Linked DNA regions of Arabidopsis thaliana. The protein of the gene in region 1 interacts with the protein of each later gene in a pairwise test. Each region holds a gene or a part of one and is shown in the gene's direction. Other genes may lie near its edges. The genes, in order: MEKK3 and CNGC17.

Region 1 (5,740 bases):
TTTATAACTGTAAGTATGTTTGTGTAATTATACGTAACAGATATATTTGAATTCCTTCCACTTTCATTGTAGTTTAGGCTATACTTGATCAGGTTATATGTTACAGTTTTTCCTAAATGGAACATAATAATTTGATCAGGTTATTAACCGGAAGGATAATGATGGTTACAGAAGTCCAGCTGATATATGGAGCCTCGGGTGCACTGTGCTGGAAATGTGTACTGGTCAGATCCCATACTCTGATCTAGAACCCGTAAGTCTTCAGGATTTTCAAACTTTTGAACTGTCTTATAATCTTAAACGACATTGAAGGGTCTACTTAATGGGATTTTATGAGTTAAAGGTCAGAATTTGTGCAAACGCGCAGGTTGAAGCCCTGTTTAGGATCAGAAGGGGTACGCTTCCGGAAGTACCTGATACTTTATCACTAGACGCTCGGCATTTCATACTTAAGTGTCTCAAATTGAACCCGGAAGAGCGTCCAACTGCAACTGAGCTACTGAACCATCCATTTGTGAGAAGGCCCTTACCATCCTCAGGCTCAGGATCAACATCTCCGCTAATCCGTAGATGAATCTAATTTTATTAGATTGCCTCCATAGGTGAAGCCTCTAGTTTCGTTTTATTGAGAATATATTAGGATCAAACGCTATATTCTAACATTGATATCTTAATGTATGAGAGCAGGGGTAACCAGAAGGTTTATGAGATATTAGACCCCATAGAAACTTTAGGGGAGACACGAGATATGATTCTTTGATACATATGCTGTTTTGGTTGCGCAGCAAGAGCTAAACTTTCTCGAGACATATCTTCAGGTAGTTTCTGTCTCATTCATTGGTTGGTTGTTGTAAGTTGTGTCACTTGTGTGTGTTGAGCTTATATTTAAAACTGAAGAGCCTTGGTTAAATTAGAGTTTTGGGTGCATAGGTTTGTTTAGTTTTGTTAAATTATAGTATCATGTAATGTATAAGAAGAACCTTAGTTGATTTAGAGTTTCGGGTGTATAGGCTTGTTTGGTTTTGATAAATTATATAGTGTATGCATGTAACCCATATCATGTAATGTGTAATTATAGTTGGCTCTTATATAGTTCCTGCTTGTTGCAACTGTTTACACATCTCATGTCTCGATGGATTTAATCTCCAATTTTTCTTATATATATATCTGAATTATACATGCATACATACACTATAATTTAACAAAACTAAACTTTTCTTTTGGGTGCAAAAACATAACCTATATTCATCTCTTAATTATTTTACGCTGAAGAAATCTGCTGTTTCAATTAAAAAAGTATGGTCAAACCAACATTTTCTTTGAAATTTTGGTGAAAGCCACTCTCATTGAAGTGTATATATGATTCAACTTGTTTCTTACAATATTTGCCCCGTTGAAAACTTTTTTGCCATCGATGAGTTTCTTTAAGGGCAAAGTTCCTTTAAGAAATGCTTTTAGATTTCTTTGTATACCTATGAATTTTTAATCAAGTGATGAAGACACGGAGAAAAATCCTAAATTGATGCTAAATATTTTATCTGTGGACTTAACCAAGTCTCCCACAAAAATAATACAAGAATCTGCAACAATTTTTAAAATTCAGTATTCAATTATTATTCAGATACTATTACTAGATTGAAAATTCAACTCTTGTCATAAGTCGTCGTCAACTTCTTTTGTTTGCTTCTTCCTTTTTCTCTAACAGGTGCAGTGTTACTGCCAGTTGTTTGGATATTTCCACTTGTGTATTTATTCTCTCTATCTCTTTGACGTCGTCTACAGACTACAATGGACGTAACTGCTATCTTCGCCGGTGATATTTTGGTGCAATCCAGAGAGTATCTTATCCCTAATGATGTTGTGGATGTTGATGGTGGTATTAAAGCGGTAAGACCACCAATAATTCAGCCCCCTCCGGGAAGAAAACTACCTCTTATTGACTTTCCAGGATCATCGTGGGATTTCCTTACGTATTTTGCTCCAAGTAAAACAGTTAAGCGGCAGAGTTCCTCCTCTTCTGATAATACCTCTGATAAAGAGGAAGTTGAAACGGAAGAGACGCGAGGTATGTTTGTCCAGTTGGGGGATACGGCTCATGAGGCATGCCCATTCGCTACAAACGAGGCTGACTCCTCCAGTACAGTATCCATTATTTCGCCGAGTTATGCCTCTAGAGGTTCTATCGTCCCTTCTTGGCTGAAGAGGAAATTTCTGGGACGAGTATCATTAGGTTTTGTGTATGAAGGCAGTTCAGGGTAAGTGCTAATATCTGTAGCATTATCTCATTGCTATATCTTTTATTTTCTATGGGAGATTGCACTACTTAGTCAGCTTCAGCATCATAATATCATGTCTTCTTCTAGTTCCTCCGTTGGTTCCGAGTCGACTTGTTCCTTGATGACGCCTTCTCTGGAGTTCCCGGATCGCATCAGTTTCCGGAAAAAGGATTTCAGTGAAAAAGGTCCTAGTCGACACGTTTGGGAAAAGCGTAAATTGACGCGTGCCAAGTTGATTGAAAATTTTTGCAATCCGGAGGACATTGAACCAGTCACATCTTGGCTGAAGGGTCAACTTCTAGGAGAAGAATCATTTGCCTCTGTGTATGAAGCCATTTCAGAGTAAGTCTTACTGGTTGCTTATGTTTGTTGAACTTAAAATTAGATACTTAGTTTATAGGAAAATAAACTTTAAATTGGGAAATGTGATGCAGTGCGAGAGTTTTTCTTTGTGTGTTTTGTTGATGCTTTTTGATGGATGTTTATGTTATCCTTTAGATCAAATTATACACTCTTTAGTTGGGAAGAAAAGAACAACATGCCTATTTACAATAAGATGTTTAATGAGTTGAAAAATACGGTGCAAAGCGACTTTTATGGTTGCATTACCATTGTGGCATTATCTCATTGTCTTCTCTTTCATTTTTTATGGGAGATTGCATTACTTAGTCAGCTTCAGCGTCATTATATCATGTCTTTTTCTAGTTCCTCTGTTGGTTCCGAGTCGACTTGTTCCTTGATGACGCCTTCTATGGAGTTCCCGGATCGCATCAGTTTCCGAAAAAGGGATTTCAGCGAAGAAGGTCCTAGTGGACGTGTTAAGGAAAAGCGTAAATTGATGCGTAACAAGTTGATTGAGAATTTTCGTAAGCCTGAGGATATCACGTCTTGGCTGAAGGGTCAACTTCTAGGACGAGGATCATATGCCTCTGTGTATGAAGCCATTTCAGAGTAAGTCTTACTGGTTGCTTACGTTTGTTGACCTTAAAGTAAGATACTTGGTTGAGCCAACATATGCTTTTTTGGCTGGTGGTTTATGTTAAATGTAGAGATGGGGACTTCTTTGCTGTCAAGGAAGTTTCACTTCTTGATAAGGGAATTCAGGCACAAGAATGCATTCAACAACTTGAGGGGGTATGAAAGTCATATACATCAGTTATCCGTAGCATTTATCACTTCTTTCATTGTAGCATTATTGCATTGATCGGTCAAAAGTAGGTTGCTAATCGACCTTACATTTGCCACATTTTTCATTTTTTATTTTTCTACAGGAGATTGCACTACTTAGTCAGCTTCAGCATCAGAATATTGTGCGATATCGTGGCACAGCCAAGGTGTAGTCTTGTTCTCTCTTTCTTGTTCTCAGTTGCATTTTGTTGTGCAATTGGTAACTCCTTTCACTGTTTACAGGACGTGTCAAAATTGTACATCTTTCTTGAGCTTGTAACCCAAGGATCCGTTCAAAAACTCTACGAAAGATACCAACTTAGCTACACAGTAGTCTCCTTGTATACAAGACAAATTCTTGCTGGGTTGAATTATCTCCACGATAAAGGCTTTGTTCACAGGTTTGACTAGTAAACTCTCTTGTCATAGTATTTCTTAAAAATCTGATTTCTTTCATGTGTTACTTACTTTTCTCATCTGATGCGACAAAGGGACATTAAATGTGCAAATATGTTGGTGGACGCTAATGGCACCGTCAAACTTGCAGATTTTGGATTGGCAGAGGTTCTTTTCCATTAATAGATGTTTGTAGTTTTATTACTAATTAATAATATGGTACATCGCTTATCCCACTGACATGGTACCTGTGTCATTTTGTTATATAGGCGTCAAAGTTCAACGACATTATGTCTTGCAAGGGAACATTATTTTGGATGGCTCCGGAGGTAATTGTGTTGGGATCCTTCTCATTGTTTTGGATTGTGTGAATACAATGATAGACAACATATCATACATCAATAGCAATGTTCTCGGCATTGATAACCTTAAAAAAACCCGATTATGTTTCCTTCAAGGTATTTGGTTAAATTTTTGTTTATGGTGAGTTGGTAACTGTTAGTATGTTTATACTCGAGGCTATACTTGTATGGTTATTTCTAAATAGAACATAACCATTTGATCAGGTTATTAACCGAAAGGATAGTGATGGCAATGGAAGTCCAGCTGATATATGGAGCCTTGGGTGCACTGTGCTGGAAATGTGTACTGGTCAGATCCCCTACTCCGATCTAAAACCCGTAAGTCTTCAAGATTTTCAAACTTTTGAACTGTCTTAGTAATCTTAAACGACATTTGAAGTGTCTACTTTATGGGATTTTATGAGTTAAAGGTCAGAATTTGTGAAAACGCGCAGATTCAAGCCGCGTTTAAGATTGGAAGGGGTACGCTTCCAGACGTACCTGATACTTTATCACTAGACGCTCGGCATTTCATACTTACGTGTCTCAAAGTGAACCCGGAAGAGCGGCCAACTGCAGCTGAACTGCTGCACCATCCATTTGTTATAAATCTTTGATTCTTACGCTGAAACAATCAAACTATGCAATAGTATGGCGAAAACCATTTCTTTGATTCTGGTCAAAGCCAAGTTAATTGAAGTGTGAAGTGTCTATATAATTCAACTTGTTTCCCGTTGAAGAGTTATCGCAATGATGGATTTATAAAACTTATTCGAAAGGTTTTCGACTCCGTACACCGTACAGATGTACGTATGACCATAATAGATAATAGTACACACATGTAGATAGTTCCTTTCCAAAATCTACATTGTAGTAGTACGAGGATCACTTGGACCGTTTCCAAAGATCCGTCATTTTGGAAACAAATGTAAGAATGAAGAAAAACCTTCTCTAACGTCAATCGAAAAATAGTAATTTAATTACCGTTATCTAATAATACTAACAATCTGAATATATGCTTTTTGCACTGTAAACAGCTACATCTTTTTATCGTAACTTTTCGCTAAAATAATTATGGTTATTTTTTTACTGTTTTTTTGTTCAATTACAGTCGTTTCTTTTCGCATATGAATAGTTACATCTTTTTATCGCAATTTTTTATTAAAATATTTACGATTTTGTCTTTTAATAGCATATTTTCGTTTAAATATATTTCGTGATTCTTTTTTGATAGTCAAATTTTTTTTAACTACATTTCTATCTTTTCGGTTTACGGTTGTAATGAAGAAAAATTCTTTCTAATGCCCTTTTCATGATGCCCTTTTTCAACTCTACCTTTTTTTTTAATCCATTTTTATTTCTATCCTCTTTAAATTTTTAATGACCATTTTACCCCTATTTGAAAATTGTTTTAGGTTAACAAAATGAAATATTAATACTTTTCGCCCAAATATTTCAAGATAAATTTCCCGCAAAAAAATTTCAAAAAAATATTCCCGCCAAAAATTTTCGAAAAATAATTTTTCCGCCAAATGTTTTCCTGCAAAATTTTTTTTTTGG
Region 2 (5,691 bases), 9.5 Mb from region 1:
CCAATACTTTATCCTTAAATGAAGTCTGGTTTCGCCCTTTGTTTTCTCCTCTAGTTTTCTTGTAACGCCAAACTACATTCTGTATGATCAAAATTTAGTAACATAATTTATCAGAACCCCATTGTTTTAAAACGTGTCTGTGTATTTGTGTTTATATACGCTTAATCTTCTTCTTTCTAGTTAAATTTAATCAATTTAATGAAAAATTTGGTATATAAAAAAAAAGACTTTGCTCACGAGTTCCTCTCATAAGGGCCAAAACTAGTTAAAAAGTTATCGTCAAAAACTGATATAAAAAAGATGTCCGAATATTCCCGCATATAAATATCTATCAGACAAACTCTTTTGTACAATATACTTTGAATCCGATAAATTTTCGATCTTCAAAATCCATAAAAATCTCTCCTTTATTTAGCCCTAAAACAGAGTATTAGAGTTTGATTCGTAAAAGAGAATATTTTTAATCTCCGCCGCAAGTCGATGTCGATAACGATTCCCTACGATGGCTCAATCTCCCGCGAGCCATCACCGTCTCCACCGCCGCCAAAAGCGAACACGAAGAATCTACCGACGAAGATTCTCTCTAACTTCCTCATAGGTCTAATCATGATCCCTGTAGCTATAACCGCTTTTATCTTTATCCTCACGTCTCTCGGTTTCACCTTCTTCTTCGCTTTCTACTGGTTTCTTCAACGAAACTATCGCCACCGTCTCCGCCGCCATCGCCGTCACGAATACTCAGATGGGTTATCTCCAAGATGCGTGAAGAGGCTTCCTCAATTCAAGTATTGTGAGCCTAGTTCAGAGTACGGAGGCGATGATTGTGTTGTTTGTATCGATGGATTTAGACAAGGACAGTGGTGTCGGAAGCTGCCTCGATGTGGACATGTGTTTCACCGAAAGTGTGTGGACTTGTGGTTGATTAAAGTCTCGACTTGTCCGATTTGTAGGGATAGGGTTTATAGATTTGAAGAAGGAAGAAGATGGAGACCACAAGGTGAAATTTTTTGATCGGTGGTTTTATAATTAGATTTGAAAGTGTGTTTAGTTTGTTATCATATTTAGCAGCAATTTTGGTTTTCATCAATAGTCATGTACAGTGTCTTTTTTTTTTTTTTACACGGCTTCACAATTGAAAGCTTGTTTCTTCACCGTTTGATGAATTTGATCCAATAAGAGAATGATGGGTTTCTGTAGAATTTAACTTAGTTTGAGGTTTGATTATCATGCCAATTATTAAATTCAATCTAGTCAATTACTGATAGAAATGTTGTCCATTTGTCACTTTAAACATGTTGCTTATGTTACCTTAATGATTTCTCATAATTTCACTTGAGATTCAGTGGTTAATCATCAATGTTTCTGTTTCAATTTGTCCATGATGAAGTATAAGTTCTAAGTAAAGCTTGGTTCATGTGATTTTAATTTACCTACTTCACCTCCAAAGTTATGTCAACTATGTTTTCAAGTGTGTGATTCAAAAGTTTATATTGAACATAAAAATAAAGGAGGCTAAAGAATCGTTTTCTGATTGGAATGTGAGATTGTGACTCACACGGAGAAAGTGATTGTGATTGGATCTGACTATAAGACTAAAGAAGTGTTTTTGTGAAGTAACAAGTAACATTGTCTAATTAGTGTTTTGTATTGTAAACTAATAATGACTTTGATTAACGAAATAATGTCACTTTAGTCAAATGTGTTGACTTTCTTGTCTTATACCGATGGCTCAAGTATTCCCAAGAAAAAAAAACAAATATCCCTCCGATTTCTGACTCGTCCCGTGACTCAGTGATTCTCCTCTTCCAATCCTCTCCGGAAGAACTAAACAAAAACACGATCTTTCTCAGATTTAGAGAGAGTAAGAGTGAGAGAGTGTCAGAGACACGAATCAAAGAAATGATTTTTAAAAGCTTCTGTTAATTCTAATTTGCATAGATTTGTTTACTCGAGCTTGAGCTTGAGCTTCTTCTAATGGAGTTAAGGAAGGACAAGCTTCTTATGTAAGTTTTCTTTCTCTCATCCGTCGGTTAGACTTACGTTCCTGAAAGTCTTCAACTTTGATTGCCCAGAAATTAAAAATTCTAGACTTTGCTTTAGATTTATCTCTTCTTTAGATGTTACAAGCTCAAGCTCCGATTTTGGGTACTGGGTTTAACTTAAATCTCTAGTTAGGTTTCAGATTACAGATTTGAGTTGTGTATTGCTTTGTAGGTTTTACTCAGAGGGGAAAGAAAGCAAAGAAGCTAAATGGGCAGTGAATGATCCAATGAGCAAATCTTATAAGCTCTCTTTACCTTCAGCACTAAGACCTGATAATCTCTTACCTGGAAATAGACTTAGATACACTGATGCTTCTAAGTCCAAATCTTCTAAAGTCTCATGGTACAAGACTATTCTTGATCCAGGAAGTGAGATTGTCTTGAAATGGAATTGGGTCTTCATTGTCTCATGTATGGTTGCTCTCTTCATCGACCCGTTGTACTTCTTTGTCCCAGCTATAGGAGGAGATAAAAACTATCCTTGTGCAAGGACTGATACAAGTTTAAGCATCCTTGTTACTTTCTTCAGGACAATAGCGGATCTTTTCTACTTGCTGCACATTTTCATTAAGTTTAGGACTGGTTTCATTGCGCCTAATTCAAGTACTAGAGTGTTTGGTAGAGGTGAGCTTGTGATGGATCCTAAGGCTATTGCTTGGAGGTATATTAAATCTGACTTCATCATCGATCTCATTGCGACGTTACCACTTCCACAGATAGTTATCTGGTTTGTTATATCGACTACAAAAAGTTACCGGTTTGATCATAACAACAATGCTATTGCTTTGATTGTGCTCCTCCAATACATCCCAAGATTCTATTTGATAATTCCGTTAAGTTCTCAAATTGTTAAAGCAACTGGAGTTGTTACAAAGACTGCTTGGGCTGGAGCTGCTTATAATCTTTTGCTATACATGCTGGCTAGTCATGTATGAATCCCATTCCTTCTTCTTCCATTATTTCATTCCTTAAATGTGATGATAATCAAAGCTACAATGTTTTTGTTGGGACAGGTGCTTGGTGCAGCCTGGTATATATTATCGGTTGATAGATATACATCGTGCTGGAAATCAAGATGCAATGGTGAAGCTGGCCAAGTTAATTGTCAGCTATATTACTTAGACTGTGATTCAATGTATGACAATAATCAGATGACTTGGGCAAATGTCACAAAAGTGTTTAAACTCTGTGATGCACGGAATGGCGAGTTCAAGTATGGGATCTTTGGGAATGCAATCACGAAAAACGTTGTGTCTTCACAGTTCTTCGAGAGATATTTCTACTGTTTGTGGTGGGGATTGCAGCAGCTTAGGTAATGGCAGAGATCATAGAAATTTTTTGATACCAATTATTACTCTCCTTTTGATTACAAGTTTTAGAATCTGATGACATTTTCCTGTTATTGTCATATTCTAGTTCTTATGGACAGAATTTGTCCACGACCATGTTCATGGGCGAAACCACATTTGCTGTTCTCATTGCAATCTTTGGTCTTGTCCTCTTTGCCCATCTCATTGGGAATATGCAGGTATGGATTCCTGCGTTAGGATAAGTTCTAAAAGTATCTGCTTTTGTTCTTATGTTTCTTGGGTTTTGCCTTTTGTTTGTTAGACATATCTGCAATCTTTGACTGTACGGCTTGAGGAATGGAGATTGAAGAAGAGAGACACTGAGGAGTGGATGAGACATCGTCAACTTCCTGAAGAGTTGAGAAACCGTGTGAGGCGATATGAGCAGTATAAGTGGCTTGCAACAAGAGGAGTCGATGAAGAGGTTCTCCTGCAAAGTTTACCCACTGATCTTCGCCGTGATATTCAACGTCACCTATGTTTAGATCTTGTTCGAAGAGTAAGTTTTTCTATTGATTTGTTTATCCTACAAATGGTTCAACTTTTAGGTTAACTACTATCTTGAATCATGCAGGTCCCATTTTTCTCTCAAATGGATGATCAGCTGCTTGATGCGATATGTGAGCGCCTGGTTTCTTCTCTGTGTACTGAAGGGACTTACCTTGTACGTGAAGGTGACTTGATCTCAGAGATGCTCTTCATCATCAGAGGTAGACTCGAGAGTTCCACAACCAATGGAGGCAGAACCGGTTTCTTCAACTCGATTATACTTAGACCTGGAGATTTCTGTGGGGAAGAGCTTCTTTCTTGGGCTTTGCTTCCAAAATCAACCTTGAATTTACCATCTTCTACAAGAACAGTTAGGGCTTTAGTTGAAGTCGAAGCATTCGCTCTTCGAGCTGAAGATTTGAAATTTGTTGCAAATCAGTTTAGGCGGTTACACAGCAAGAAGCTTCAACATACATTCAGATTCTACTCTCACCATTGGAGAACTTGGGCTGCTTGCTTCATACAAGCGGCTTGGCGCAGGTACAAGAGAAGAGTTATGGAGAATAACCTCACTGCGATTGAATCAATGGAAAATGAAGAAGGAGAAGTAGGAGAAGAATTAGTAGTAGTAGAAGAAGAAGAGTGTGTTGAGGAGAGTCCTAGAACAAAGATGAACCTTGGAGTTATGGTTTTGGCATCGCGTTTTGCAGCTAATACAAGACGCGGTGTTGCAGCTCAGAGAGTTAAGGATGTAGAATTACCCCGGTTTAAGAAACCCGAGGAGCCTGATTTCTCTGCTGAGCATGATGATTGACTGATGTATAACCAGGAGAAGAAGCTGACTTTGTTCCATAGAAGATCTTAATGACAAGAACACTACAGAGTAAGTTTCCTGTTCCTTTGGGAGACATAAAGAAAGAAACTCAAGGCGGGTTTTGGTTTGTACACTTAAACATCTTTTGTAATATAAGCTTGGAGAATTAGTTTTGTTGTACTATTAAAGAACTCGTTTCTAAATTCTCTAAATGTAAAGATGAGGAAGTTGAAGTGGATTATGTACAAATCACATCAAACCTTGCAAAATTGATTGAACCAACAAGGAAGTAAAAAGATGTCTAAGCCCATTCGTCAAAGCCCCTATATGCCGTGGTTACTGACTTACTGTAACGTTGAGAATAAGATGGTAAAGAAAGAAAAAATATATTTTCTTGAGCATGTTGCATATTGCTATCGACACAAGCTTCTTTTTAAAGAAAGGTAGACTCACTTAATCAATAGACATAAGATCATACTAATGATGAGTTTGGACTTTGGTCCATGGGAAAAAGTTAAAATGTTTACTTGCTTTCTCTACTGACCTAGATATGTCGGATCAAATCATAATCTACATTACAGGATTACATACATATTTGGGATTTTTCTTTTTGCAATATGGCCACAAGACCAGCTCAATGTAATCATGGATTCTTAGTCGATTTAAAAAGTTGTAAATATTTTAAACTAACATATTGAAAAGTTTCTGAAAATTTCTTGTCCCATATAATATACAAATAAATTTTATGGTCTTGAATGACAATAACAATATAGTATGGCACAAGAAGTTAGATTGAACGGAAACTGAATCATGAAAACAATGGTTTTCAACAATCATAATTATAGTAACATATATTAATATTTTGAATCGTTTATTAATATGTGAAATTTTTAAACATGCATGCATATATTAAGAGATGACATAGTAGTTGTACCTTATAGTGTGTAGTTGCTCACTAGAGAAGTTAAGTTCATGTCCCCTTTCCAAAAAGCTCAAA

The links.
Region 2: the proteins of MEKK3 (region 1) and CNGC17 interact in a protein complementation assay, tested with the Arabidopsis thaliana proteins (one large-scale study listed by BioGRID).

Annotation. Positions count from the first base shown.
Region 1 is NC_003075.7:5,383,087-5,388,826, reverse strand, and holds MEKK3 (MAPK/ERK kinase kinase 3), read left to right. Parts: upstream 1-1,566; 5' UTR 1,567-1,788; coding exon 1,789-2,255; intron 2,256-2,363; coding exon 2,364-2,618; intron 2,619-2,981; coding exon 2,982-3,227; intron 3,228-3,325; coding exon 3,326-3,410; intron 3,411-3,547; coding exon 3,548-3,610; intron 3,611-3,686; coding exon 3,687-3,844; intron 3,845-3,934; coding exon 3,935-4,007; intron 4,008-4,108; coding exon 4,109-4,168; coding exon of another isoform or gene 4,169-4,210; exon of another isoform or gene 4,211-4,405; coding exon 4,406-4,519; intron 4,520-4,635; coding exon 4,636-4,797; 3' UTR 4,798-4,975; downstream 4,976-5,740. Other genes in the region: MAPKKK9 (mitogen-activated protein kinase kinase kinase 9), read left to right, coding at 140-253, 368-574.
Region 2 is NC_003075.7:14,854,063-14,859,753, reverse strand, and holds CNGC17 (cyclic nucleotide-gated channel 17), read left to right. Parts: upstream 1-1,734; 5' UTR 1,735-1,974; coding exon 1,975-2,003; intron 2,004-2,214; coding exon 2,215-2,971; intron 2,972-3,055; coding exon 3,056-3,354; intron 3,355-3,458; coding exon 3,459-3,570; intron 3,571-3,653; coding exon 3,654-3,890; intron 3,891-3,965; coding exon 3,966-4,694; 3' UTR 4,695-5,060; downstream 5,061-5,691. Other genes in the region: AT4G30370 (RING/U-box superfamily protein), read left to right, coding at 481-1,011. UniProt on the Arabidopsis thaliana protein: Probable cyclic nucleotide-gated ion channel. Forms a functional cation-translocating unit with AHAs that is activated by PSKR1/BAK1 and possibly other BAK1/RLK complexes. Required for PSK-induced protoplast expansion.